4 linked regions of the Drosophila melanogaster genome follow. The protein of the gene in region 1 interacts with the protein of each later gene in a pairwise test. Each region holds a gene or a part of one and is shown on either strand. Other genes may lie near its edges.

Region 1 (8,062 bases):
TACGAGAAAGCTAATGCCATGGTGATCGATTTAGCCACAGAAAAGAGTCTGCAGACGCAGCACTCAGAGCGCCTGCAGAAGCAAATACAGCAGCTGCAGAAGCTACTGCGTGCTCTACAGCTGGAGAGGACAACACTGCACAAGTGCCTGCGGGATCACGAGATCGAAATACCCGCCCTGCCGCAGTTGCCTCCTGAACCAGAGCCAGTAAACGTCAAGCCAGTTAGTGCTGAAAATGTTAAAATGGAAATGATGTCTCGCAATTGTGCGGAACTGAAGCAAACATTGGCAAATCTGCAGAACCAAATGAAGCTGCTAACGACGAATGAATCGAAGACTTCCATTGAGGAAAAGAAGAAGGCCGAGGAGCAGCGTCAGGCGAACAATGCCAAGAAGAATATACGCAAGAAGGAGAAAAAGTCCAAGGCAAAGGCAGCAGCTGCAGCGGCGGCGGAAGCTGCAGCATCCACAACGAACGGTGAGGCGAACGGCGTTCAGGAATCAGCCGCAACGGAGTCAAAGGCCGAGCTAGAGGCAGCGGGTGATGCCTCAAACGTTAAGAACGAAAAGGAGCAGACCGTTGACATTGCGACAGACACCCAGGAGCTCGTAGGTGATGGCGACGCTATCACCGCAAAGTCACTTGTTGATATATCCGAAGTGCCTCCCCTAATCGATGCCAATGCCAACTAAACTACTGACTGTTCGCCTATAGTCCCATCTCCAAATCTCGGGCGGCCACCAAGCCTTCCCTGCAAAGCATTTTGTGTCATCCATGTCTCAACTGAAAAACGTCATCAATTACAAACCTACATGGTCCGAATTTTGTACTAGTTATTTATTGTACTTTGTATATTGTATTTATTTAAAGGATGTCGTCGGTGATCGTGTATTGCTGTTCAACAACAAATTGAGTAAAACGTGTTTCCTGCAAACAGAATAAGAATATTAAAATTATTTCTTTGGGTAAATATTTGCAGAATGTCCTTCCAAAAGATTTAAGCATAAATCTTAGCCCACATTTCGCATCAATTTGCATAAGTGGAGTGGAATGGGAAACTGCCAGAGCGCACAAGCTCGATGGCCATGGATTGCTTTCGTCATTGTTGGCGACGCCACAAAGTCTAGTGTTGCATGCAACACATTGCAATGCCAACAGGCGAACGGATGGGGGTGGCTTCAACGGTGGTGATGAGTGGTGAGTGCCTGCGGTTCGTGGCCAGGGTCATTATAATTGCGCCTTAATTATTTTCAACACGCAGCTGTCATTTTTGCCGGGCCCCAGATTTCCGCCATCAAATATTTAAGACGCATGCAACGTGGCGTATGCGTAACGCCAACTGCTGCCAGCGGTCACTCGGTGCGGGCGAGGGTGTTGAAATAAGGCCAGTTAAGTCACTAAAATAATTACACAAATTAATTTAAATTGCATAAAGAGGTGCATACGAAAGAAGGACTAATTATGCCAGCTCTCAAGGCAACAACTGTTTTTACCCCTTTTTTCACAGCATGTTTTATGTACTGTACCCTATATTGTTAGGTCCCCGAGCGTTCTTCCATGGTCATTAGAAATTTAATTAAAAATTTTGATATTGTTAGGAGTATAGGGAATTCTATTTATTTCAAGCTTCTTCCGCCCGATTGCCCATTAAGCGGTATTAAAACTGTCTTCCCCTCGGTGCCAAAGTGTCATACTTGTGCATATTTCACACCCTCGCTCGCATTCACAGAAATGTGTGCACATTTCGCAGGCAATGAGCTTTTGAACATTTAATGAGTTAATACGCTAAATTTGAAAGCCGCTCAAGCGTGCGCCAAGTGCTTCAAACACTTGTCCCCATCCCCGAGCTGCCCATTTTCCAGCTTGAATAATGAGAATGGGGGTATCAAGCCGCTAAATCCAGCACTGAAAAATTTTTCATCAACTTAATAGAAATGTGTTTATTTTTTAATAATATACATTTAGTTTGTAAGATATGTGAAATAAAATAATTTCGAGTTATTTATGAGAATTATATACGAATAAAAGATCAAAAAAATAAAACTAAATTTTTCTCAGTGTACGCACACACGCATATGCAAAACACTAAGCACTTGTCATTTGGCTGTAAACCCTACGCGTCCGTTCGTTGGTATAAAAAAAACAGTGCAAATGTCCAACAGACGAGCATATGTACATACATATGTACACTATAGGTATGTGCGATGTATGTACATATGTACATATGTGCGAAATGGAGGATTGGTTGGCTGTCGTGGCGTCGTATTCATCCTGAACTCATGGGTGTCATTTCTCAGGACCCTCGCGGTCTGCAGGATAACAGCAGCGTAACAGAAGAAGACCCTCACTGGGGACCAGGACCAGAAAAGTAGAGGCTGCCAGACTGCCTCACTTTTGGCGTTCAAGTGAAAGGACGAAGTCGCCGACACTGGTGTGGCAATACTTTTGGCAGCCAATTGTGCGGGCTGAGCAAGATGAATGAGGAATATGAGTGTTGCTTGCACAGTGGGCTACTTTCAAGGGTGTTGGAAGATTCATAACTATCTTAAAGATGCTTTCAGCAGTACTTCTTATGTGCGAGATATAAATTCAACAATTTCTAGATTTTGTAAATAAATATTTCCTTCTCTTATCCAAAATCATTTATAATAAAATAATAATTATTTTATTATAATATACAATATAATAATAGTTGTCATGAATTTAAATGTCACAAACAGGCTGTCTTTCATTAGTAACATATTTTAAAAATTACTCATACGCCACGTTGTCAGTCAAGTAAATATATTTGCCATTTAAAACAGCTCTTCCAATATTATTACAATTCAAACTAATTATATGCGTTATGTGGCTACTTAGTCCACTGTAACCGCCGAGGGCTATGCTATACCCTATGTGCCGCCCGCAACCCAAGTGAGTGCGCACCCACTCTCCGGCGAACTCGCTCTCCGTCTCCGGCGGAGTGGCTCCGGATATTTCGGCAACAGAAGCCTGGCTGCGATAGCCGGAGATTTTCCGAGCGAGGGAAAACCGAATGCCGAAGCGTCGCTGCTGGCAAACATTTTCCATTTTCGCAGTCCTGTAATCAGTTGTGTATAGGACACTCGCGTGCGCGCGTCGAACGGTTTCTGGCTTTATTTGTGGGAAAAGTGTGTGTCTGACGGCGAAACGGTAAACGGGGAAAACGCTGCGCGGTTTTTGCTGCTATCGAGTTCTTCTTTTGCTGGATTTTATATATGGAAACGATTGTTGCTGCTGTATCATTGCAGCTTGCAGCTTTAAATTTAACTTAAATGCTAAAACATCGTTTTGAAAAGCAACGCGAGAGTTAGACAAACAAGTTGGAGGAAATTTTCCAGCTACAGCTACAGCTGCTGCCTCAGCCAGCGTCGCAGTCGCTGTTCGAGATAAAGGATATGCCCGGATCTAAAAGATACAGTTTTTCCTCTTGTTTCTTTTTCCGCTGCTGCTGCTCGTGCTACATTTGCTGCTTGGCATTTTCCGCACAGCAACAACAATCGTTGAGACAGGACCGCAAGTTTTGCTAAAATGTAACATAACACCAAATAAGCAGAGTTAGGAAGAGTGAGCGCCAAATAATGCAAATAAATGAATAAGCCCAAATCATTAACAAATTAAAACGAGGCACGCAAAGGAGGGCAGGAAAATATAAATATCGAAAGGAGTCAAGTCAAGTGCTTTCGAGGAGCTGTTTGCTGACATGCTTTGAGGTTAATACCACCCACCACCACCCAACCGCCCACTACCACCCATCTCAACCATCAGCCATCACCAACTCCTCCTACCTCCCTCATCTCCGTTTTGGCCAATTTCTCCGTCTGCTTTCGCCGCTTTCTTCGTCAACGCCGCTGCTGCCGCCGCCGCCGCCGCTGCTGCCGTCACCATCAAAAGGCATCGAAGGTAAATATATATGTTATATTTTAGCCGAGTGTGTGTATATAAGTCAATGGGCCAACAAACTAACCTACAAAGTAAACAAAAGCGTTACGCTACAAATGCAAATTTTTCGCACACATGCTCAAGAACTATAAACAACAACTCATTTAACTGACGCCATGCCCCCATAAAAAAACCAAAAACAACGCAGCTTAAGACTAGAAATGAAAAAAAAAAAATGGAAAACAAACAGTGAAAAGGTGGAAATGGCACGGCAAATGAAACACAACAAAGCAAAACGCACGCTTCTAAAGCTATTTGTATAAAATTTTAATCGCATGCGATTTATTTGACTAGGCGCCAAAGTCGCACGCACGCACACCATCGCATTTTCGCAGAGGCACCCACACACACACACACGCAGGCTAGTGAAAATTCACACACTCACCTTGAAAAATGCGAAAAAACAGTCTGGAATATTTTGTTTATTTTTCGCAAAATTATGGAAAATATTTATGGGCTCTATTTGAAGTTTGAGCTGTGCCAGGTTTTTCATTCAATAATTGAGGAAAATAATGAAAATGTTTAAAAAACGCATCAAAGAGTATTTTTGTGAGATTATATTTAAAATTGGATGTGAGGCTTCGATTTACTATTGAAATGTTAATTTTCATATTTATTTAAACAAATAAGAATCTGTGTTTGAAGACGCACCTGGCTGCAATTGTTTACTGTTTACGGCACTGTGAAAATATATTAAATTGTTCATACATATTTTTAACTTTTGGCAGAAGTGTCGACAACTTGTTTATAATTTTCCAAAATAGTGAAGCTTTACATATGTTATTTTTTAGCATTGCGGTAATATATGGGTGAGAATCGAATATACTAACATATTCCTTGAGTATACGATTTGTTTGTTTTATTTTCTTTAACAATATTACAAAATGAATTATTCCCAGAAGTGGTAAAACTCTTTTTACATGGCGTTTAAATTGCGTCATTAAAAATTCCCATTATTCAACCCAATTTCCGTGTCATTTAATCCGTGACAAGCTGTTAAAAGGAAACAAACAAACAAAAGTTGTGCGCAACAATTGATAAGCAACAAAAGCAACTATCGTGCCGCTTGGCAATAAACCATAAAATAAATGCCAATTCCATTTAGATGCACAAGCCGATTAAAAAGTCAACTTGGCATAGTTTTCCAACTCGTGCGACATTGATTCGTGATTGATTTGGTCATATTGTAATCTAATTTCACCGATTTGAAAAGTAACTTCAAGTAGTGTAAATCACATTATGTAATTAATCAAATATATGGAGATTTAATATATATATTTTAAGCGATTTTACACGACAAGGTCCTTGCCAAACTAAATTCGCTGTCATCTATTTATATAATCCCTGGCCAACTATTTTAAGTGCTTCTAGCCGAGAAAAGCTGCATCTGCATCCTAAGAATAAAATGAACTTGGTCGCGGGAAGCTGGATGAAAAACACTTAACGCGCAACTAAGCGACAATTGTTGTTTTGTGTGGCATTTAAAAATAGAATCAAGGTGCGCTCTAGTTTCATTCATCCACACACAGAGACATCCCCACTCACACACACGGCGCACACACAGATACAGGTACAGAGCCTACATAAAAGTGGCTGCTGTTGTTTTGCAAGTGGGTGAATGCGGGGCAAAGGGGCGGTCGCCGGGATGTATGCTACACGAAACTGTAAATAGAAAAGTTATAAATAAAATTCACACGAGCCAACATTGAAAAAATGAACTTGGAAACTGTAAAAAATAAAATAAAATATAATAAAAACCTGGTGAGTGGACGCCATATAATGGCTGATCATTCAAATATTCAATTATTGGAATGAGCATCGATGACAGCACACAAAATAAATATTGGTAGATGATATATGTTAAATTTAAACATTTTGTGCAGCACATCTGGGCACTATTACTTACCGGTTAAAGGTCAAAACACCTTGGCCTTGGCCAAAAGGAAACTCTAAGGAAAACGCAAAGACACGCAAGGCAATACCAAACGAGAACCGCAGCTGTGAGCTGCAAAGTGATTCAACGCTTTTCGGCTATAAAGTGCCTAATCACTTTGGGTGTTAGATGTGTGGGCCATTCAATGACACTGGTAATTACTGGCCCAATCGAATGATATTGTCTTGGCCTAAGTGAGTAATGAGCAAAGGGCGTGACAATCGCCAAACGTCCAGACCTCGTTGAATAATTAAGCCTGTTCAAACGAACTGACTTTCAGTTAAGTAACTTGCACCAAAGGCCACACAAGTATCAAGTTACCAAAGAATATTATAATAAAATACCAAAAGTGTTGTTCGCATTTAACTTTTTTTAAGTGAAACCATACATTTGCGTTAAATATTATTGTGTTATATTTTCTTCGTACATAATATAACCACGAACCATTTAAAGGGCTTTAAATATGTATATGTAAGCATTTTATGCCACCAAAGGCAACCGCAAGCCATTCCCAGCGTGAACATCAATTTGCTAGCATTTGGCGACCATTAATGGTCAACTTATCGTGGAAAAAAATACTCCTCCTCCCATGGTTAAAGCCATAAAACATGCGTGTGCAGGCATCGGGTGTGCTACATACACACATATGCAACAGCTAGGAAAAAAAGGAATCGTTTAGCTTTCAAACAGCAACAAACTTGAAATTTATATAGCCAACCGCCAGATGTGTCTATAAAACTTGCACATCCCCATTCATCCCATACGAACATTCATTTTACGGAGGTTTTTCCAATTTTTTTCTTTCTTTGTTTCCCTCTTATATTTTTATCACCAGCTGATAAGAGCAAAGTTTGTCCGAAAGTTAGCGCCTGTAGCCGTAACACACATACGCCATGTGTTACAAACATCCGATGGAAAGCAAGAAAGAAAAGAACGAAACGAAACGAAATTACCCGCAATTTCAGAAAAGTTAAATGTCTTTGCAGCCGAGCATTTTGGTAACATTTTTTAATTGCCCCACTGGGGGATGGGCGGAAATCCACATTTACAAGCGAACATATGTTGGTAACATGCAATTAACAAGCCAAGTCCAAGCACTCTGCTGATGAGTAGATAGCTCGTGCAGGTCTCGACTATCACATACCCGGTATTTCTCTATCTATAAAAACAAAATGATTCCATTCTTGAAACAAATCTTTTTTTCGTATAACCATACTATAATAAACATTCCTTCCATAGTTAAATCATACACTAGGTTTTTTGAAGTAGCCTATTAAAAAGAGTGGCAACAACTATGCTCAGCCACCCACGCGGACCACTTACAGGCATTAATTACTATGTCGGGCCTGCCAAGTCAGCAACGAGCCACGAAAAGTTGAAGGACCAACTGGAAAAAAATATTGCATACTTTTCGGAATTTTCCCCCCAATTTGGGCAGTTTCCACGCTTTTCACTTTCTCTCTCTGTTTTCTGACAAGTTGTATGAGTTGCGAGAGTTGAATGTTTCTTTTTATTGCCATTGCCATTGTTTTTGTTGCTCTTGTGGCCCGTTGTTCTTGTTTTTGGCAACATTTTTATATTATTTGGTCGGTATATTGTTCTTGTAGATTTTCATGTCCATGGCGAACAACAAATGTTGAGGAAGAAGAAAAAAAGTTTGTTATGTAGTGGATTTTTCGCAGAACAACGTTAAGTTGAGAAAACAAATTCCCAAATATGTAATTGGTTTTTGAGTGCGGCGGGTAACTATAGTTCTGAATATTCGTAATGTTTTAAGAGTTGGCAAGTAGAAGTATCTAAAAATGAATCACAAAAATTTCGACTACTTTTTGACAAGTTTAACGGATATAAGGAGACAAATTATGCCACTTCTAAGCAATTATGTTGTGTAAGCCAATTTAACTTGTTTCGATCGAATTTGACTTGTCCTTGGCGGAAATAAATTAAGTCAGCTCATAAATTAAACCAATCCTGGCAAGACTCGCGGCTCATACACCCACGCAGCAATAAGTTCATGAACATATCTCGGCATATTTATAGCTTTGCCAAAGCCCGCTAAGCTTTTGCCATTTTGGCCAAGAAAAGGGCACAGCCACAGACCGAATGATTGTCTGCAAGTTGGCGCATATCGCCGAACCGGAAGTTCCGGGGGCCAACAGGGTTAGCGG
Region 2 (8,038 bases), on another chromosome or scaffold:
TCAATCAGAAAATTTCGAATTTAAACTGAATTGAAAGGTGAGCGAAATGAACTCCCAGTAGATTATCAGCCATCAATCAATTTCGGTCTAAGAACTTCTTTGTCCGAAAGGTCAATTTACATAATTAATGATATAAATATATTGTTTAGTAATGCGAAGATATATCGAATCAGATTTTCTATTGAAAATAAACCAACAAGCCGTCTGTTGGACTTTATTATGATTTAAAAATTGGTTTTAAAGGATATTGTAGCTTATTATTCCAAAACAATTTATAAGCAATTTAACATAATTAATTGTTTTGTTTTAGCAAATAATAATAATTTAAGATTTCTTCTATATACAAAGGTACCACCATCATGGCACAGTGCTCAGCATAAATATAGCATACTTTTCTGACCTTCAGCATGGGAATAGCCATATCAATTTACACCTCGGAGCCTCCGCAATTATTATCTATTAATGTTGCTTTCAGGGCATATCAGCATCGCATTCCTTTTTTTTCCACCCCTGTTTGTGTTTCCTGACTGCCCGTTTTTTTAATGTTTATTATTTGTTTTTTGTTTATTATAAAGTACAAACAGGCAGGCGGACCGGGACCACCCACTCGGCCCTCGAGACCGTTCCATTCAATTTGCGGGACCCAAATGCTAGTTAGGCATTAATGTGCGGAGCACACGAGAAATCTACGGAAATCCTGTGAATTTTCCATCGCAGCCATTGCGTGGGCCCGCCTTATTATGGCGGCTCGACTTTGACTTTCTCTTTTTAGCCCTCTCGAAGCGGAAGTCATTTTCGCGAAAATCGAGGGGGGCGGGGGGTGGAAACGGCGGGCAGGTTGAACACAACTGCAACTTTGAGGCAAAATGCGAATCAAAAAGAAATGGACGCGTTTCCAGATCATAAAGGCAATTTTATAGCCTGGTGGGCATTTCAGTTTTGTATTTTTATTGACAATAAGTTAACAATGTTTACGTGTTTAGTTGGTTGTTGTTGTTGTTTGGACTATTTTTGAGGCATCACAACAACCTCCTGACCGGACCAAAAATACTCGGTGTTTTCCCAACTGCTTCGAATTTCCCACATTTCCCCGCGATGATTTTCTTTTGTTTACAATTAGTTTTTTCGTTCTTTTTAAATTTGTTCCATCGGCTTAATGAAAAATGAGAAATATGTACTACTGAGCAGAGAAGCGCGAGAGAACGAGAGAATGGGAGAATGTGAGAAAGGGAGAGTGGGTGAGAGTCTCATTTTCTCTGCGCCTGCTCATAGGACCCTTGGGCTTTGGATACGGGCTAAGGATGTGGGTCTCGGTTTCGGTTTCGGGCTAGCGTTCGGCTTAGGCTGTGGGATCCGGACTGGGATTGGTTCGGATTCGGGTTTGGGTTGGTGTTTGGATTTGGGGATGAGGAGGGCCTTTGCCCTCGCCGTCGGCCCAACATCAAAAAACATTTCGCCATTTGTCTCTGGGACCTGTAAAGATTTTCTAATTTTCCTTGTACTTTTCACTTTTGCCCGTGAGTGTGTCGCCGCGCTTAAGTAGGGTTTTATGTATCCTCCCACTAGGAACAAAATTGAAGGTGTCTCCTCGAGTAAGGTGTCTATTTGGCAAGCATTTCAAAGAAACTAATTCGCATTAGTGGCACCTTTTCCCCCCATGAAAATTAAATCGGTTTTATACACGATTTATTTTCAATCGTCAGAGCTCTATAAATATCTCTGCTGCAATATTGATCCCACACCCAGTGCACTGCATTTTGGGTCAGCAGATTTATCATTGCCAACGGGTAAGCTAATTATGCTTATGTTATTATTATAATAATATTAAAACATCGAATCATAATCAAATTTGTTGCTTTTGAAAACAATTATTCGGATTAAATTTGCACATGGACAGAAAATCTTTCACATATCTTAATAGCCGATTGCAATAATTATTTAAAAAACATAAATTTGTAATTGAATCATAAACATCGCGATGTTGGCTATAAATTCAAACAAAGGCATGCATTAAATGCATTTAATTATTCGCCAACTGATGCATGGACAATTAAAATCATCTCAATTTGGAAACGGAGTAAAATAATTTCAACAATATTTGTTTGCATTGGCAAGAAAAATATTGACCAGCTTTCAGCATCCTTCGCATATTAATTTTTATGTAGCCGCAACACACTGCGTATGCTTATTATTAATTCAAGCATTGCCCATACGTCATGTTGTGCCAGAGGACAATACAAGAAAAGGCCGAATGCGTCGACAGCAATTCGATTTCAAGGTGATTTATTATTTAAATTTCATGTTCCGAAACAAGTCTGGGCAGCAACAAGAAGAAGCAAGGGTTGCTGGAAACTGGTAAACTCAATGGCACGTGCACTTGGAAAAACTGAATCAAAATAACATGTATTCCATATTCAACTATTTGATCCTTACACTTGTTATTTTGGCTATTACCTTTTATTATTATACCCACATCATTTGTGTGATATCTATGTAATCATTATACAATACGTATACTTCTCAACCGTTAAAGTTTTTCTCAAATTCATAGCTTACACAATATAAGAAAATGTTGGGATTCGGGATGTTCAAGGATGAAACTTTGGAGTTTCCGCCGTTGTTCGCATTAATTGCAAAAGACATTAAAACTTTATAGAGTCGTGCTTATCAGTTGGCCAACATCGTCAGCTGGAAGAGCTGCAATGTAGCGAATCCACCACCACTAGCACCGAAAAACTTTCGTCCTGATGGCCATGGCAAGCAGGACACCAAGAGCGGTTCAAAGGGATGTGATGATGCGGGGCGTCCAGTGGACGTGCAAGTGGCCCAAAGAGCCAAATCCTGGGTCGCACTGGGTGGATGGTGCGGCTAACAGCGATGGGGTGGTGGTTGCTTGGTTGGATGTGGCCAATGGCGTAATTTATGTAGGCCCGCTAAGCCTTTTCATGCGTAAAATGTGTTTATATCTGCGTATAAATACGCGTACAACTGTGACCACGTACGGGATTGTGTACTATATGTGCTTATTGGGGTGTAAGAGATATATGTATAGAGATACAACCAGGGGTAGCAAAATAATTTGCGGTCGAAACAAAAAATCTTCAATACTACAGGATATTCGTGATAATTATTACTAAGATCTTCAAGAGTAAAAGCACTTATTTCTATTAAGATCAACCCCATCGATTTGAGGTGAGGTAATAAAAGAACCGCATTACGGTGTCCATGTGCATTAAGCTGCAATAAAAGTGTAATTTTAAACCAATGATAACAAAACAACAACTACTGGATGTGCGGCAGCTGCTCTGCAACTGCGCTGCAACTGCGCTGCCTCTGCTGCTTTAAGCGCGTCATCAAAGAGACACACACACACATAGAAGAGAGATAAAGCCTTTGTGTGTGTGTGCGCTTGCATCGGTGATGCTGGTATTAGTGCAGCTTTGTTATTGCGCCAAAAACCAAGCCAAGGATTTTTCACACATTTACGCCAACAAATGGACTGCAGCTGCACTGGGCAAAAGGATAGTACATAAATTTGATATCTGCATTATTATACTCATTAATATCGGGAAAATAAATGTTAGGTTGCAATCCAATTCCGGGATTCTACTTCAACATTTTCAAATGTTGGGTTTATTTATAAGATAAGAAATTTATTGTTAAGAAACACATCAAAATCCCTATAAGTTATATGATTATATTTGAATGAGAGAAATACTACAAAAAAACTATGTTCATATGTAAGTAAAATGTAAATGGGAGCACTACAATCTGGCTAACAGTAAAAATAAATTTTAAAGGAATTATTGTTATGCTTTGAAGGAATTTTTAAAGAAATATCGGAAAGCAACGATTTTTCCCAGTGTCCTGTTTGCTCCTGGCTGCCTCGCTCTCTCTTTCTCTCCTACAGACGACCTTCACTTTCGTGGGACCGACCGTTATATATTTTGTGTGCCTAACGCTTTTTTAACGTGTTATGTTGTTTCTCTATTTTCGCTGGCCCGCTGGTCAAATTAATACCCTGAGTGGGTGGTGCGTGTGTGGAGAGGGGGGCTGAGGCGATTGTCGATTTAAATAGGCCAACTATGCAGAAAAAACAACTTGTTGTTGGGCTGCAGGCACGCCATAAGGTGCACTTAAAAAGCGTGTTTTAAAATGAGCTAACCGCATGGCAAGGATATGGGCGGTTTGAACTAGATGTGAATTTTCCACACTTATTTTCCCTCTGGTTTTCTGTTATTTTTTACGGCTGTTGTTGTTGCTGAGAGAACGAGCGCTACAGCAACAACAAAAACAACAACAACAACAACAGCAACATTCGCGGATACACACATTTTCACAAATCAAAAAAGCAAACGAATATTGCCACACAAACCCGTACACAGAGAAACACACTCCCACACACACACATACACACAAATGAACAAGAGAGACAGACAGGGAAAATCTCTCATTTTTTATGGATTTTCTGGGAAGGCAATCTGCTTTCGCTGATGTTTGATTAAACAATTGCTTTTTATACTCCTGTTGACTATCGTCCATCATCTGCCCGCATTTCGCTGGGAAATTGGGGAAAACTGTTTACACATACATACGCACGCCTTTCGTTTTATTGCATTTTACACTTCTCGCCTCTTACACTTTTCCCACCTCATCCGTTCCTCCTTTCGTTAGCCGCACATTTTCCGCACTACTGCGTGTACATTTTCCACGCTTTCGATCCGGGAAATTCGATGCTGGCCCCTGTCTGTTTTTGGAAAAACAATTTTTCTGACACTTTTTCAGCCTTTTCTGCACGCACGGGGGCCACAAAAAACTTGGCCCAAACTGCGTCCCGCTTTTTGCTCCGCTCGGCGTTTTCTTGGGGGCGTTCAGACAAACAGTTTTCGACAAACTGAAAGTGAAAAGTAAATGCAAAAGCGCCAGCGCCTCCGACAGTCGGTAGTTTCACTCGGAGCATGCGAGTCCGAACCCAAATCCGAACCAGAATCCGGGACAGCAGCGAGATGCTCACGGCGTCGGCGCACTTCGACGAGCAAGTGGTGGCCACTGGCCTCTGAAGACGATGCAGAATCGAAACAGATGTTCATGTTGCCTTCCGAATGAACTATGATCAAATATTTATGGCTAATACCACATATCAATGGATTCATATCAAGGATATCACAATTCAGTCGCAGTCGATAGCCATGCATTTTTCACAGGATCTATAGTTTATTAGCCCCTTACCTGTTACCCACACTTAGCAAACCTTTATACTGTTTTGAATCGAATATAATCGAAAAAGAAAGTTACTTGAAACCGAATTGTATCTCCAAAATGTATAGTTTAATTAATTATAGTTAATTTATAATTTATTTATAAAAACATGACCAAATCTTAATATTAATTTGGTTCACCCAGCGCACCCAAACATGATTTGCAATAAATATGTTTTATTTTTGATAATACAACATTACAAATATCACTGAATATCTATCAAGGACACGGCTTGTACACATGCTTATGGCAAAGTGCTTTCCAAGCCAAAAAATTCACTAAAGATTTGGCCCTGCAAACATTTTCCATTCCATAGTTTATGGGCCAATTGGGATAATTATGAATTTTTTTAGTTGAACGCACACATTCAAATCAAAAATAAAAATCTAAATTTAAAAAGAAAAATTTTCAACAATCTTCAGACCAACTGATTATTAGCAAAATCTTTTAAGGCCAGTTTTAGCCAATCTTCTTTGGAAGTGAAAATGGAAGCCTGGCCAGTTCTAATATTACTAGGCGAGTGAGGGATTTCGGAGTGATTTTCTATTTGGCGGCCGGAGCAGATCCTTCGCTCTGCTGAGAGTCATTAAACTGTTTGTGCCACTCGAGATTCATCTTTGTGACGGATTCTCCTTTCTTGGCGGCCTGCTTGCCACTGTACACCATAATGGCGCATCCCACGGCGGTGAGTGCGATCATTATGTTGGCCAGGCGGATGCGCATTTTGTTGCGGCAGCGCTCCATGACATCCTGACTGCAAGTTTTGACACCAAAACTTAGACACCTGTTGCATTTGCTCTCTAAGAATCGGCACTTACCTAACGAAATTGGGAATCTCGGACTGCGACTTGTATTTGCCGGTCCAAACCAACATACGGCGCTCCAGATTGTTTGGCTCGTGGTTCTTGATCGTCTCTCGCAACATCTGACTGGTGCCGAAGGATCTACGCACCAAGGCGCCAATTAACCCCGTTTTGCTTAGCATATTGCCTTTTTTAATCGTTTCACAAGTAATCTTGCAAAAGAGAATTGGAATTTTATGCAATTCGATTAACAGTGGTTGCTAACATAACAGAGCTGTCACACGGTCGATAACTGTGAAAACAGCTGGGATTTCTTTGGTCACCCTGAGAGACGTTCACACTGTACAATGAAGTGATTGAAAAAATGAACAACAAACTAAACTAAACTGGAAATTCTTTGTTAATCAGGTGAAATTTTGATGGTGCTAAAACTGCTGGAAAAAATAAATCTGATATTTAAAAATATATAGTAGGGAAAAATATTAGAAGTAAAGCAGTGTGACCATCTCTGAAATATGCTTAGTCGACCCAGCAACGGTCACTCTGCTATCCCCTTTAGTTTTCGTTTGCGGTGGAATAAAAGTCGGAAAAGTCAATTAAAAGCCGACTGCCACACGTCCAGAAAGCGAATTTGCGATCAAGGTCAAGATGAGCGAGTACACAAGCATTCTGCAGCGCGAGTTTCCCAAAATCGACCACGAGCTGCTCACCTATGTCGTTGGCGTGCTCACCGGAAGTAAGTGCCTTGCACTAGCCTGTGATCTTTTATTCTTTACCCCGCACACAAATTCCAATTGCCAGGCGAGGAGGACTTCGAAAGCGGCGATGACATCTTCGAAGCGGTGGGCGACATCCTGCAGAGCGTCGACTGTGATAGGTCGGAGGAGAGTGTACGTACGCTTTGCGAGCAGTTCCTCAACATCATGAAGAACAACGAGGTCAACGTGGAGCGAAAGGTTCTCAACGCGCCGGTCAACATCGAGGAGATGGCCAAGAACATGGAGCGGCTGGACAAGGATATGCAAAGCATCTGGGTGGCCAACAAAGATGGCGCCAATGTAAGTGTTCCCCTTGACGAACCACTCCAATAAACTGAATGAACGGCGCCATCAATACGACTTTCATTAAATAACAACTAAACTATTCTTATTTTAACAGAAAGTGGACTCCAAGAAACTAGGAAAGGCGGAGGCCAAGCTGCAGCAGAAGCAGGAGAAACGGCAGGAGGTGAACAAACATGGTATGATTCCTGTTGCGGTGAAGCTACAAACGGCCACAGCCTCACAGGTGACCAACAAGAAGAACACCAAGCTGGATCAGAAAGGTCTTAACCGATCCATGGACATCAAGATCGAAAACTTTGACCTGGCTTTTGGCGAAAAGTGAGGCAACCTAACTGTCGAAATTGAGCAACCGAAAATTATTGTTAATTCCATTTAGAGTTCTTCTGCAGAATGCGAATCTGCTGCTGTCTTACGGACGCCGCTATGGTCTGGTGGGACGCAATGGCCTGGGCAAGACTACACTGCTCCGCATGATTGCCGAGCGACAGCTACAGATCCCTTCGCACATATCGGTGCTGCACGTGGAGCAGGAGGTGGTTGGCGATGACACACCAGCAGTGGAGAGTGTGCTGGAATGTGATACTGAGCGAACGAGACTTCTGACCCGCGAGAAGGAGATTCTGGCTGCCCTTAACAATGGAGTTCAGGATGCGACGCTGTCCAATGAGCTGAGCGAGACCTACGCCTCTCTGCAGAACATCGAGGCGGACAAGGCTGTGGCCCGCGCATCTGTGATACTTAAGGGCTTGGGATTCGATGCAGATATGCAGCTGCGTCCAACTAAATCCTTCTCAGGCGGCTGGCGCATGCGTCTTGCTTTGGCCAGGGCACTGTTCTCAAAACCCGATCTGTTACTGCTCGATGAGCCGACGAACATGTTAGACATCAAAGCCATTATTTGGCTGGAAAACT
Region 3 (7,912 bases), on another chromosome or scaffold:
TTCCGTTTGATGGAAACGATCAGCTGGCCATGCATGTCAGCGGTAATAAGCTCAGAGATTTGCACTTTTCCCGAGATTATGGTGAGGCGGAGTTTTGGCAACCATTGCATTCGGCTACGATAGAGGAATCCTCCAGCGAAGTCTTTGAACTTCTTCCGCTCCACAATTTAAATCGCAGTCAAATGTTCCTGGCACGGTTGCTGAAGGAGGTTTCCCTATACGAACTTAAATGCAAAGACGAACAGGATTCGGATTCAGATTACGAACTCATTCGCCATTGCATGTTTAGCAGTCAAGTAGCTCCTTTTACAAGCGCTGCACAATCATTGGCCAATGCCAATACATTGGCCTTAGCTAGCCAGGATAGGTCTTTGCGCTTCGTGGATATTTCGACACAACAGGATATAGCCAAGCTTGATGTTTGCTTGCTAAAAGGACTGAAGAAAACCTCGAGTACCTGGGCACAGTTAAAGCAAGCAGAGGAAAGCACCTTTCACTGCCTAACACAGCCAGTTTTGTTTACCGTAGATGTGCGATGCAATCTGCCTCTGAATCCCTGCTTTGCCAGCGGCGTTCACTCAAAAGCTTGCGAGAGGTTCTCTTGTTTGGCCAAGGGTGTGAATCCTAATCTCTTGTATGTGGCTAGTAATCACAACTTCCACTGTTTGGATATCAGATGCTTGGGTAAAAAGCTGACCGATCGAGCTGTCGTCACCTGGACGCATCAGATGACCTATCCACCCTGTTTTATTGACACAAGCGTTCACCAGGACAGTGAATATATTGCGTTAGGTGGACTCTTACCCAAAGATTTGCGAATTTGTGAACTGCAAGGAGCTCAGGCAAAAAGTGTCGATGAAATGTTCTCGCCGGCAATACCATTTGCGCCGGTAACCCTGGAAGAAGCTTTAATAGATGCTCGCTTGGGAGGATTTGTGGATGTCTATGCTGATATAGCAGAGCGGGTAACGACCTGCATTACAGGAATGCGCTTTATTGGCTTAGAGGGGGCCAGTGATCAAGCTTTTACCCAGTTGCTAACCTCCAACAGCTTGGGAGATGTTTACTGCCAAAGACTAACGCTTAGGGATGAAGAGGAGCATGTCCAGCAGATCAGAACCGGAACTCATACAACGGAAGCCATTCGCTACCTTGCCAATGCCGTTAATGAGCGCGTCCAACGCGAGAACATCCGCTGCACACAAGTCCAGTCGATACCAGAGATAAGAGACATCTTTCGAGATGGTGCCAAAAGATCAAAACCTGAAGAAAAACCTTTAATCGTAGAGGAAATCGAAATTGACTATGGCATAGAAGATACTGATGTTTCAGAAGATGAAAGCCCAGCCTCTGAAAAGGTAAAGGAAGAACCTTCGGAATCCAAGAAAGGTGGTAAGAAAACGCCTAAGAAAAAAACCAAGGTGAAACCAAAACGGCAACCCAAAAGGAAAGCTGCCAGTAAGAGAAATGTTAAAAAGCAGAAGAGCATCAGTCGCGGTCCCTGGCAGAAATCCGCTTACAAGCTGTCCCACTACACGGACATGATGTCGACCCGTTTGCTGGACGTGTGGGATATGGAGGAGTACGACACCACACGAGACGTAACAAGAGAAATGTTCGATGAGCGTATAAAGGGGAAGGAGCTGGAACCTGAACAACGCATGGCCAATTGGTTGGAACAATTGCCCAGTCAGACAGTGGTACCCACTGAGGACGAGGTGACCGAGGGAAATCCCGACATGGTTCCCGGTACAAGTCTACCAAAGCTATATGGCGCCACTACAGCGAACTATTCAGTCATTCCAGCCCTTAATTCCGATCAGGACATCGGAGAGCGCCTTTTGAGTCCCAAAAAGGAATCGCCTGTTGAATTTGGCCGCGAGTATTCTATCTTGCTGCCCGGCCAGAATACTATCATCGAGGACTATCCCTGTGCCCCGCCAGCTAAGAGGCCCAAGGTTAAACACGTAAAGGGTTTCTAGCTTAAGTTAGAGTTGTTAACCTTAATTTAAATTTAACAAAAATAAATAGCAGATTATAAAGTATATTAAATAGAAGTAAGTAGATTTAGAATTTAGATTTCTGCCAACAATATTAAATGTTTTTTATTTTTTATTCGATTGCAATAATTTGAATAACACAACACACACTTCACATTAGCCCATCCCGAAAACTTTATTGCTTGTTATACTTGCCATTTTCGATTGATGTCACTGGTTGAGGATGTATCTCCACCAAGATCGGGTTCGTAGGCTGGATTCACGATTCCCTCGATGGGCTCGACCACAAAACGATCATTCCTGCGTTTGAGGGCGTATCCCACAGATCGTTTTGCCATTTTGGGCTTATCTTGATCGCCGTGCAGCATTATATTTCGCCCTTTTTTTTCCAACACGCCACACGACCGTTTAGAGAGTGCCTCAGATTTCGACTGATTTTCAATTAATTTGGGCAGTTTGCATTTAATTGATTGATTCGATCTATCTATCGCTCGTCGGCGCTCAGTGGGGCGTAAACGAGCCAAGGGTGACAATTCCATAGGAGTGGCCATAGATAGAATATATGCTTAGTTTAGTTTAAGCTAAGCTCGGTTGAGCTGAGCATCCAAAGCTTTTAGTTGGAAAAGATTATCTTGAACTAAATGCAGCGAACTATTGAATGCTATTGACGGGAACATTGGCATATTCACAGATACAATGCTGAAGCTCAGCTCCAAAAATTTATTGGGAATTAAAAAATTTTTAAATTGATTTTGACAACATATGTGCACACTTAATATTAATCGTTTTCATTATATCGTATCGTATTAATCTACCAGTGTACAAAATTATCAAGCACGGTTTAAAAATAAACTGTAATAAATTAAATTAGAGTATGAAAACAAAAGAAAATGTCACATAATTTTGCCGAATTTAATTCGCCAATCATTAAATTAACTCTTTATCAGGCTCCACCCACAAATAAAATAAAAGAGGCGCCTGCGCACTAGAAAAAGTAGGCGAGGCATAATGTTGCTTAAACTTTGATGCCAGCAACATGTAGACTACGGCATATTCTTTGGAAACTCCTTTTAGTTAAACTTGAGCAATTGCTTGAATAGGTTGTGTGTCCTTCGTGTTCCATATATTTTTCGTTTTTGTTACATTTTTCAAAACGATTATTAGCTTAATAAAAAATGAATAACTTTTTGGAATACATTTCGGTATTACATTGTTCCTGTAAGTTCTGATTAATCATAAATTTAAAGTTAAATTTTAAAAAATTAATCTTACATATTAACTAATTTATTTGGGATAAGGAACACCTTTGATTGTGTCTTAACCTAAGTCCGCCTGATCCGCTCCTGAACAAGTTTCTGCTTGATTACGTGGACAAGTGCTCTCTCTTATTCTGCCCCCCGTATTGTGGATCGCGTTCCCACAGTATGTGAATCTCTTTTGGCTCTACAAAAACACGATCTTTCACTCTCTCTCGTACTCTTACACGTGTGGATGGTGGTGGATCACGATCCCCCGCCTCCTCCCGCTCACACTTTCCGGGTCTCTCTGAAGATTTCCACTCTTTTTATATAGGGGTGCACCCAAAAAAAAGATAGGGAATATAATGAAAAAAACATTGAAATACAAAAAAAACTATAATCTTATGAAAAACTTGGAGGAATGCAATATATATAAATAAGATTTTAAACTAAACTACAAAATAATCTGGTCTAACTTGCAAAGTGCCACAAAAATGTTTCTGAGTGTAGAAGTAGCGGTTAGTAAAACAACGTCGGCGGCTTCGGTTCCAGCATTTCTCGCCCGCACTTCGATCGAATCGGACGTGTTTGCACTTCACATCCGCCGTTTGCTCGCGTGTTTTCTGTTGTTCGCCCGCCGCATCCGCCCCCGCCCCTTCGCCGGAATCGAGTGATATCCGTCTGTGGAAGACCAAAGGTATATTACAGATATCAGATCGTAAATCGTGTGCTTGGCTTAGCGTAAACATCTTGGAAATGTGCTCATTAAGAAATGAAAATCGAGAAATCGAAAGAAAGCGTGTACTTTGCCATTGCTGTCGTGTCTCTTCCATTCATATTCAGTCCACGCCATCACACATGCATACACAAATAAATATATATACACACACATACGCCCCAAGAAAACCGAATGATGGAGGAGGAGAAAGAGAGCTTATCGCTACAAGTCCATGAAAATAAAAATAAAAAAATATCGCCGGTCATTTGCTCTTGCTTTTGTTGCTAAAGATCGGCTCGGGTCAGCAATTAGCATTTCTGATTCGAAATAAGAGGAAAACTCCTGACGTGTCGCTTAGGAAAAGATTTTCCGAAACATTTAGCGCCGGTCTGTAAATTGGATCGCTTACGGTAAACTTCGTACCGCCAGTTCACTGAACCTTTCATAAAAGACACACAAAAAAAAAGCTGAAACAAAAAGATACGTGTGTAAACGAAGAAGCTGGATCGCCCAACAGGTTTTAAGGCCAAAAAGTGGACGCTCAGTACAGTGAAGCGGCTTCTGAAAAAAAAGATTTTGAAATATATTTGAAAATGTGATTTTAGGATTATTAGCCACAGGAGGCCATCTCGTCTTATCTATTTATAGTATTTGAAGTATTTCTAGTCCCTAAATCTGTGGATTTTCTGGCTTCAGCTTGGTCTTAACTGTAACAATTGCATATCATAGCATATGAACTTATTAGTGTAATTAATCATTTTCAAGCTTAAGCAAAAAAGTAAGGCATATGTGTGTTCATGTCTCTGAGATTTCACTGTATAAGGAAAAAGAAGCAGAAGCGAAAGAGAGCAGTTGAAGAGGAAGATCAAGAGATGTTAATGCCGATTTCACGTAATTGAGGCTTGACCATTGCCTTTCCATTAGTGAAAGTTTTCCGACTATATAAAGACCCACCATATTTTATTTTTTGTTTGCCTTATTAGTTTTTTTATTTTACGGCTATTCGAATTTTTTTCGCTTCTTTTTTTTTATATTTGGGTGACCTAGGCGCTTTCAAAACTTTCATTTAACCAGAAACACCCACCAACATATCCCATTGGAAATGACTACGATGGTCATTACGCATACGCCACCGCGTACGCGCAATAATTTCGCTTGGCTTTGGGTCTTGGCTTGCATAATCCCCTCCAGCTGGTCGAGATGGTCAAAGCTGGTTGGTTGGTCGAATTCGGTTCCCCACTCGAAAATGAATTGCACATTTGCATAATGACTAATTTTTGCTGTTCGCGCATCCCATTCGCAATCGCTGCGAATACCCCTCGCCATCCATACGATTTCAATTTCAACTTTACACTGTTGAGCAAACAACTGTTACACCTCTCCGGGTAATTGGCTTAAATTCATCATTTAACGCTTGTGCAACGCTAATACGCGATTAAAACGAAGATGATGGCGAGTAGATGATAGTGATGATGAATCTGTGTGTATAAAAGTGATGAACATCAATCCGAGCAAGACATTGGTGCTTCGGTTTAGTTTCGAGTTAGTGGATCTTATCGTCTGTAGTTCGAACTCAGTTAATTTTAAGGATTAGCAAATCTTAAACTCTTTATAAGGTTTACTATACTCCTTGTAGTCGAGTGCATAAACACGTTCCCCTTTTTTTGAAAGTCTCTTACGTTTTGTGGTAATCAAGTTTGCCCATTTATCTTGCAGCCATGTCGAAATCCAATCTCGTTATCTCGTGCCTTCTGCTGGTGGCCATCAGCAACAGCCTGGTCCGGGCTCAGGATCTGAAAGTGGAGGTGATCAGCACGCCGGAGGTGTGCGAACAAAAGTCCAAGAACGGCGATTCCCTCACCATGCACTACACTGGAACTCTGCAGGCCGATGGCAAGAAATTCGACTCGAGGTGAGTGATCTTAAAGTGTACAAAACTAAAATAGGCACACTTTGTTATCAATGAACTAAGCTAAATCCCATGCTAAAGTGATTATTTCACATTGCCCCAAAAACTTCGGCAGAATGTCAGAGAGTTCAGGATGAAATATTTTTAAAGCCGATGCTGTCCGTAATCTCCACACACACGCATCCATTGGAGATGCAGATTAACATACTCGCAGATACATGTGTTTTCCGTATGGGATTAAAGCTGCTGGTGCTGCATAGTCAGTCTGTCGTCGCGGCGGCTCATTGCCGTAAATTAGACGCCAACTGATAAGCGATCTCATTGTTGCATTGTCGCTGACGCTGTTGTTGTTGTTTTTTGCTTGTGCTGCTGGTGCATTTTCCATGCCTGAATGCCCCCCTTCTTCCTGCAACCCAAACTCAAACTCAAACCCATTTTCCCGCTTTTTGTTTCATTTTTCTGTGGGTTATGGGCGTTTATAGTGACGCGGCCCTCAATTTTTGGCTTCATTAAGCAAAGAAATCGTTTTCCGGTACAAATAAGATTCTTAAAAACCATTTAAAAATATTACCCATAAACAATTTGTTTTCAAACTATAGTTAGCTCTTAAGCAGTAGTTTCAATTAAAGAAAATGATAAGGCGCTACTTATTTTCTTATCTCAAATATTCTTTCTCATATTCAACCTTTGACTTTCTTGTAATAAATCCTGTAAATAAAAGCCACAGCGAAACTTGAGCTCCCAGCCCAGATAGCCATACAAAAAACCAATTAAATTTAAAGGATAACCAAATTATTTCACATGTGCGGCTAATTAACACCCCAAAGTGGGTTGTTTGCCACCAGGCAAACAAAAAATCTTTGTGTAACCGTTTGGCAAGCGGTAAAACTCATTATCAGTGTTTTATAAATATCAGCTGGGGCAAAAACTTGTCGATAAGCGACCTCAACTAGATTAACTAAACTGATATATTGTCCGTTGATTGCATATAAATAAAATATACGTTGAGTGTGAGGGCATTACTCCACCACTCTCTCTCTCAGTTATCAAATTTTGATTTAATTTTACGACCAGAAAATTGTGTTTCTCGCAGGGGAAACGATTTTATAAACGTCTGACTGACCCCAAGTATTTCAAATTGCCCCGGCTTAACCCGTTTTGTCATATGCTAAAAAGGGAAAACATTTCATTTTCCCATCCATCTCATTGGACATGTTGTGTCCTTTCACTTACCTTGAGTTTTGGTAGACAAATTTTGGTTGCAAATTATGTGGAAGTTGCAATTCGTCTCTTTCGGGGCTTAAAAGTTTCGCAATTGCTGTTAAATTTGGCGTGGCAAAGTCTCTGTGAGGCAGGAATGGCGGAGTTGGCCAACTAACTAACTCAATCAGAGTGCGTCCCCGTCTTTGCCGTTTTTCTCTCTGGCCTGCCACCTGTTGCGCTGCGGCTTAAATGCCCTCGAAGTTGGCTAACAAACAAGGCACTTTGTGCCAGTCAAGTGCAGTCAAGGATGTCGACAGGCGTCCTCCTCATTCGCCATCTTCTGTTCGCCTTGTGCGAGAAATCCTTTTCAGCCACTTCTTGCTTTTCAGCCTCAAGCTGCGAACACAGCTCCTTCTGCCATTTTCGGCTTCGGCTTTTGGCCAAACAGTCTCCGCCTTGCAGCGGAAATTAGCTGGCTGAAAGCCAGCTTCACTTGGCTATAATTAAGCTTTTGCCGGCAGAGCACCTGAAAAAATGGGTTTAAAACGAAGATGCGATGCTCCTTGAGAGAGAGATAAGTACGAAGATTTTGTTCTGCTTTTGACGGGTTTGTCGATGGAATTTCTTATTGAAATGCCAATCAAAATGAAAAACTGTCCTAAGCACACAAGCATAGGGAAACGGAAAACGAATATACGACTATACGTGCTTAATTGATATTAAAATGGATTACAACCTACTTGGTTGGCCATAAAAGAAACTCTACTATATTTCGGACAATTACAAATATACCCCCAACTGCCCTCATCCCTTTGCATTTTATACTCGTAACTAATTCAATAAT
Region 4 (6,538 bases), on another chromosome or scaffold:
CCCGTCCAGACGAAAGCCAAGATTACCTACAGCTTTGACTTCACTGTGGAGCAGCCGAGGACACCGGCGCCGCCCAAGAACAATCCCGCCAAGCTGTATGCCAAGGTGGACCGGATCACAGTCAACAAAGCGGGTAAGTGCAAACAAAACAACCAATGATTTCATGAAAAACTTCTCTTAAGCGGACAGTTCTCTCTCTTGGGCGGACATTTCTCTATATACATGTTTCTCCATGTTTTCCTCTAACAACTTTATCTATGATTTATATTATACAGATTGCCAGGCCAAGAACAAGTCAACATGCGGCTGCTCGAGTTGCTCCGGCCAAAAACCCAGGTACGTAGCTTCACCGGTCAGGTCGCCGAATGCCATTCGTCGTCGCCGGGATGTTCGCCAGCCAGGTTCACTGCTCCGCCGTCGGCTAATGCGCCAACAAAAGATCCAGGAGCGTCCGCCACGCTTTGTGAAGCTCTATCACAAGGATTTGACTCCTGCGCAGGAGAAGCATCAGCTTAAACTTTTTGGCCTCTTTCCCGTGGAATCACCAGAGTCAGTGGCTGCCGCACCCAAAACCAAGAGAAAGACGAAGAAAACCCAGCCGAGCTGGATGGGATTGGGAAGGCGTTTGAAAAAGCGAGATATTAAGGGAGAGTTTGATCTGCTCGAACAAGAACGATCCCAGATAGATCTGACTGCGCCGGAAATAATCCAGTTTATGCCCGAGACTCTGAATCCGGACTTTAGGCCCGGTCAGTGTCACGTGGGCTGTGGAGCGATGACAGCATCGGCACCACCACCAGAAGAGCCAATGCCCAAGGAGGAGCAAGTGCCTCAAACGACGCAGCCTGTGCAAACGGAACCGCCAGAGCAGCTCAACTCGATTCCCGCCAAGAGGGCCGCCTATGGTTACTATCCCCTGCAGATTCCCTCGCCATTGGGCCGTCGGGAGGACTACAAGTTCGTGGATGATTCGCAGCTTAGGAGCCTGTTGTCCACCACTTCTGTGCCGGATCCGCAGGAGTATAGCTCCACGCCGTTACAGTTTGCCGGTGATTTGGAATCGGTTACAAGAAGATCCTATGGTGTACCACTAACGAGTCTCGGCGGTGGCTATCCCGTGGAGCATGTCTCCGACTCCCAACTGGACAGCATTATCTCCGGGATAGTGTACAATCATCCTGCCTACGATCATTACTCCACCGAGGGCAGTCTGGTCGATCCGGAGCCAATTCAAAAGCAACAGACGACGGATTTTCTCAAGAAACTCATCGATGGCCGGCTGGGCGGCTGGGGTTTCGATCAGGGATCGGAAACCGAGCACAGTTTACACAATGATTACTCCACACAACCCGCGAAGACCTATGGCTATAATAGCCAAACCCAAAATGGCTACAGTATAGACACCTATAATGCGCCACCCATTACGGATTACCTGAGGGCCTGGTTCTAGTGCCCAATCTAACCAACATAAAATACATAGTGTTTAGAACTTAGTTTAAACGAAAAAAAAAAAAAAACAGAGAAAATCATAGACGAAAAGTAAACAAAAAGAAAAACAAAAGACAAAAAAAAAACAGAATATAATAAATTGAAAATACATTGTGGTGTTTCTTTCTTTATTCACCCAACGTCTTCGTCTTTCTTCTCTTTGCAGCTACGGCGAAGACGCGGGCTACGGCTACTGAAGAGAGATCTTACATATAAACCAACAATATCAAAACCGAAACCCAAACCAAAACTCCAAACCGAATGCAACCCAACCCAACCCAACCCATCGATCTGCTGAGCTCGGCTTAAAATCCAGCCGAAAGTAGGCCAGTGGAGCACTCCGCTTTCGGGTCTCCATTCGCTTGTATATATGTACATATATATATATATATATGTATCTACGTGTACTATAGAAGTTATGAATCCAACCTCCGATTTCTGTTTACGTTTTCCGCTTTTGTCGGCACTTCAAGAAGTTGCCCCAATTAACTGGTTAATAAAGTGTTTGCCTGATTAAAATGTGCTCGATTCGATGATTTGGGGTTCCATTGGGTGCACCTTTGGCATAGAAAGAGCTAGCTATATGATACCCCTAAAAGTATGCCCACCGAAATGAACAGCTCTTAATCCTAAGCATTTCAAATATTATAATAGCCTAATGGCATATTACTTTGATAAATAATTAAGGGTTTTAGCATTTATTTACCTAACACAATTCTTCTGTTTTTTAGTCTTAGTCGTTAGTCTTAGTAAGCTCACTTATCATTAAAGAGCCAGTATATATAATATATATGATTTATTTGCATACGATCACGATCTGTTAATGGCCAAATATTTATTGTTCTACATAAACAAATGGTGGTGGTGGTTCATCATTCAGCGACAAAATTCTTGCGATTGCATACTATTGAAAAGCCAAAAGATACTCGCAACCGAAAGCCACAAAAAACTCACTGAACTTCGTGACCATAAGAGCAAAACATTTCTAGAAGAATACTCAAGATTCATAGGTACTAAGTAATAATAAATAATGTATAGTATGCAAAATGCAATAACTGGTTATTAATCTATCGTTTCAGACTAGAATTTTATAAAATATGTCAGGCAGACTTACTCACTTATCCTTTGATTAAAGAAGTAGGGTGTTTAGTAACATAGTTTATTGTGCGATTTTTGTAGAATCGAATGCGATGTAATCCCAAGACCTTGTAATTCTCGGCATGTCAACAATGTTTTACAGCATCCAATTAATGGCACATACACCCATTAAAAAACCAACTAAAGTATCGTTAAATTATTGCAAGCGAACCCATTGACTAGTGCCAAAGAATTCGAATGACCCTGGCTTGGTGTTTCTCACAGTTTTTTTTTTTTTTTTTTTTTGTTTTTTTTCTTCTCTCTGACGCATCAAGATCGCTGGAGATTCGTGGATGAGACATTTAGTGAATAGTGAATATGGCATATCTGGTTATAGATCACGTCCCGGCACGCCATTTTATTTTTTAACCGAATCGAGCTACTTTTGTGGGTATTTAAATGGATTCCATGGGAGCCGGGGCCCTCAGTCGAAATGGCAGCCGACGGCAGTTGGCCTATACTACTCTTGTTGGTCTCAACACAGGCCATTATTCACGCTGAGGTGGGTTCATTATATACACTCCGTTTATACAATAAATAAATAATGCTTGTATATTCTTCATTATTCGTTCAGAATCTAAGTGAATCCACGCCCGGCCCCGATGAGGAATACAATGTGAGCACAACTCCGGGTGCGCCGCTGGAAGAGACCACCAATCGCTTGGCTGCTCGCGTTGAGCCATACGATAAGGGTGATCGGGAGCAGTACGATGTGATCGATGTGGCCACAGCTACCGGTACGGTGATGGGCAAGCCCAGAAGTGGACAGACCACGAGAATCTACACCACCGGCGAAGTGGACGAAAGCTTTTGGCTAAAGCATCTGGGCGATGACTTCAAACATGCCATCCATCTGCAGGTGGGCGGCACCAACGAAGAGTACAATCGCCTGATTAACCGGACCCAGAACGGTGTCCACGAGGAGGTGCATCACGAGTATTTACCGGGGGCCGAACGACCTGGCAGCGCAGTCCAGCCTCCATCTCCTCTACCTGCGCCACACCAATCGCGTCCAGCTTATCGTCAGGGTTTCGACAATCGAGCCATGGCCATGAAACAGCAGTATCTCATCCATCAGCAGACCCAGCAATCGCATCCTGCCCAGCAACGCTATAACTATGCCCAACAGCATGCACAACACTATGCACCACAACCACAACTGCAACCGCAACCACAACCACAACCACAATACCCACAGCACACACCGCACAGAAACACGTATGCAATGCCTCAGAATTATGGGCAGCAGAACTACAAGCCGCAGAGTTATATTATCAACTCTAGCGAAGATCAGCTGCACGCCGAGCAATCGAATCCCTCGCCAATGAAATCAGCTGGAGAGGATCGACAACATCACGAGGAGGAGTTTGACTCCTTTGGCGGTCAGCTCAACTTCAAATCACCCTTCAATGACTACGGCAGTCGACCAGCACGAGATCTCACCTACCTTCTTTATAAGCGGGGTCTCTAGAAGCTAAATCCATGTCCACGTCAAACCAAAGACTTGCGGTCTCCAGACCATTGAGTTCTATAAATGGGACTGAGCCACACCATACACCACACACCACACATACACACACGCCAACACATTACACACAACACGAACTACACAAACACTGAGATTAAGGAAATTATTAAAAAAAATAATAAAATTAATACAAAAAAAATATATATATATACAAAAATTTGTTGTGTTTGAATTGAATTAAGAGCTTATCAAGAAAAAAATTTCAGTGACTCATAATACACTACTCTACAAGTTTAAATTGAATCAACAATTTAACTTTCATTGCTCAGGTTTTTAGTAACAATGTTTATATAAGTTTAGGTATAACAAATGATTTAAATATAAGATACTGTATTTCACATTGAGACGAAACAATCCACCGAAAATCATAAAATATAAGAATGTTGCATTTTATTTTTAAAAATAAAGATGCCTTTTAAGAGGAATAACTTAAATGTCTTTAATACCTTTGAATTTAATTATATGGCTAATAAACACAAACTTAAAGCTTAAAACTGCATCGAATTGAATGCGGTTATAAATGTACTTATATATCTAATATAATCTGCTAATATGGTTTACATGGTATATCTTTCTCGGAAATTTTTACAAAAATTATCTATTCATATATCTCGAGCGTAAGATATTTATCAGTTTATAGATAACATCTTTAAATTTGGGTGATTAAAAAAAAACATTGCTGCAGGGCATGTTTATGTACACATTTCAGTATAAGTCCCAAGTTAAAATGCAATGTAAAAACATATAAAGGATATTAACTTCAAACCCAAAGGATTGCAGAGAGATTGCAGCACAGCTGTAATCATCGCAACAAGGCAACCAAAACGAGACTCTCGTAGCGTTGGCATCATATTCGATCTTTGGAAGAGCTATGATTCAAGCCAAGGGAAACAACTGCCAAAAAATAGAAGATTGCGACGAGCGGAAAGCAGAGTGGTGCACCACGGTGCATAGGTGCATAGGAGGTTGGTTGTCTAGAGATCTGGGCACGATGGCGAGACAAAGATGCGGCGCAAAATCGGAAATGGAGATGGATCACGTAGCCGGCCATGGCGGGCAGCGATTATAGGCGCTATAAAGAGCCGGAGTCATCGCCAGACAGCGAGCAGTAGACGATCCACACGTAAACGGCAACATGCAACTCGGTCTCTGGTTTGGCATTTTGGCCATCGCCGCCACGCCGGTTAGTAGCTTTTATCCATGGCATTCGCATTGGGCATCCCGCTAATCTCGCAAACTCTCTCTCTCTCTCTCTTACCTCCTCCTCATTAGCTGGTGAGCGCTAACTATGGTCCCGCTGGCGGACACGGACACGGACATGGACATGGACAGTACCTGTCCGGTCCCAATGCCGGACTCGAGGAGTACGTGAATGTGGCGTCTGGTGGCAACCAGCAGGCTGCCAATCAGATCGCCTCACAGGCCGAGATCCAGCCCACGCCGGAGGAGGCCCGTCGTTTGGGTCGCGTCCAGGCCCAACTTCAGGCCCTCAATGCCGATCCCAACTACCAGAAGCTGAAGAACTCCGAGGATATTGCCGAATCTCTGGCCGAGACCAATCTGGCCAGCAATATCCGTCAGGGCAAGATCAAGGTGGTGTCGCCACAGTTCGTTGACCAGCATCTGTTCCGCTCCCTGTTGGTGCCATCGGGCCACAACAATCACCAGGTGATCGCCACCCAGCCCCTGCCACCAATCATTGTCCACCAGCCTGGTGCACCACCAGCCCATGTGAACAGCGGCCCACCGACTGTGGTGCGCGGCAATCCGGTGATCTACAAGATCAAGCCCTCGGTCATCTACCAACAGGAGGTGATCAACAAGGTGCCCACTCCGCTGAGCCTCAACCCCGTCTACGTGAAGGTCTACAAGCCCGGCAAGAAGATCGAGGCTCCACTGGCCCCGGTGGTTGCACCCGTCTACAGCCAGCCCAGGGAGTACAGCCAGCCCCAGGGTTATGGTAGTGCCGGAGCTGCTTCCTCCGCCGCCGGTGCCGCCTCCTCTGCCGATGGCAATGCCTACGGCAACGAGGCTCCACTGTACAACAGCCCCGCGCCCTATGGCCAGCCCAACTACTAAGGTGCTCATCCTGGGCATGGGTTGCTCCTCAGCTGCGACAGCTGGTTTAATTTAAATTTTTGTTTTTTTTTTTCTTTGCCGAACTACTGAGCGCAAATAAATGAAAAAAAAATACTTGAAACGTAAACGTTTTGTCATCAATTATTTTCGACCGGAAGGGGCTACCTGAGTGGCAATGAAGCACACAGATTAAGCACATATTTATGAATATATAAATATATACGAATGCATGAGAGAACAAAAAATTATATCTAGTTTTCTTCAAAAATAAATAATAAAGGGGAAAATGGTATAAAGTATGAACAT

The links.
Region 2: the proteins of CG5890 (region 1) and Shal interact in a two-hybrid assay, tested with the Drosophila melanogaster proteins (one large-scale study listed by BioGRID).
Region 3: the proteins of CG5890 (region 1) and Fkbp14 interact in a two-hybrid assay, tested with the Drosophila melanogaster proteins (one large-scale study listed by BioGRID).
Region 4: the proteins of CG5890 (region 1) and Cp7Fc interact in a two-hybrid assay, tested with the Drosophila melanogaster proteins (one large-scale study listed by BioGRID).

Annotation. Positions count from the first base shown.
Region 1 is NT_033777.3:25,853,052-25,861,113, forward strand, and holds the start of CG5890 (uncharacterized protein), read left to right. Parts: upstream 1-3,102; 5' UTR 3,103-3,922; intron 3,923-8,062. Other genes in the region: CG5886 (uncharacterized protein), read left to right, coding at 1-693.
Region 2 is NT_037436.4:19,579,672-19,587,709, forward strand, and holds the start of Shal (shaker cognate l), read right to left. Parts: upstream 4,898-8,038; 5' UTR 4,651-4,897; exon of another isoform or gene 4,640-4,650; intron 1-4,639. Other genes in the region: CG9231 (uncharacterized protein), read right to left, coding at 5,803-6,013, 6,078-6,244; CG9330 (uncharacterized protein), read left to right, coding at 6,711-6,798, 6,864-7,120, 7,221-7,444, 7,503-8,038. UniProt on the Drosophila melanogaster protein: Mediates the voltage-dependent potassium ion permeability of excitable membranes.
Region 3 is NT_033778.4:21,493,087-21,500,998, reverse strand, and holds the start of Fkbp14 (FK506-binding protein 14), read left to right. Parts: upstream 1-3,788; 5' UTR 3,789-3,935; intron 3,936-4,224; exon of another isoform or gene 4,225-4,366; intron 4,367-5,474; exon of another isoform or gene 5,475-5,672; 5' UTR 5,673-5,674; coding exon 5,675-5,868; intron 5,869-7,912. Other genes in the region: TAF1C-like (TATA box-binding protein-associated factor RNA polymerase I subunit C-like), read left to right, coding at 1-1,982; CG46395 (uncharacterized protein), read right to left, coding at 2,186-2,368.
Region 4 is NC_004354.4:8,474,069-8,480,606, forward strand, and holds Cp7Fc (chorion protein c at 7F), read left to right. Parts: upstream 1-3,048; 5' UTR 3,049-3,058; coding exon 3,059-3,127; intron 3,128-3,199; coding exon 3,200-4,096; 3' UTR 4,097-4,252; downstream 4,253-6,538. Other genes in the region: Cp7Fb (chorion protein b at 7F), read left to right, coding at 1-133, 276-1,450; Cp36 (chorion protein 36), read left to right, coding at 5,289-5,336, 5,426-6,232.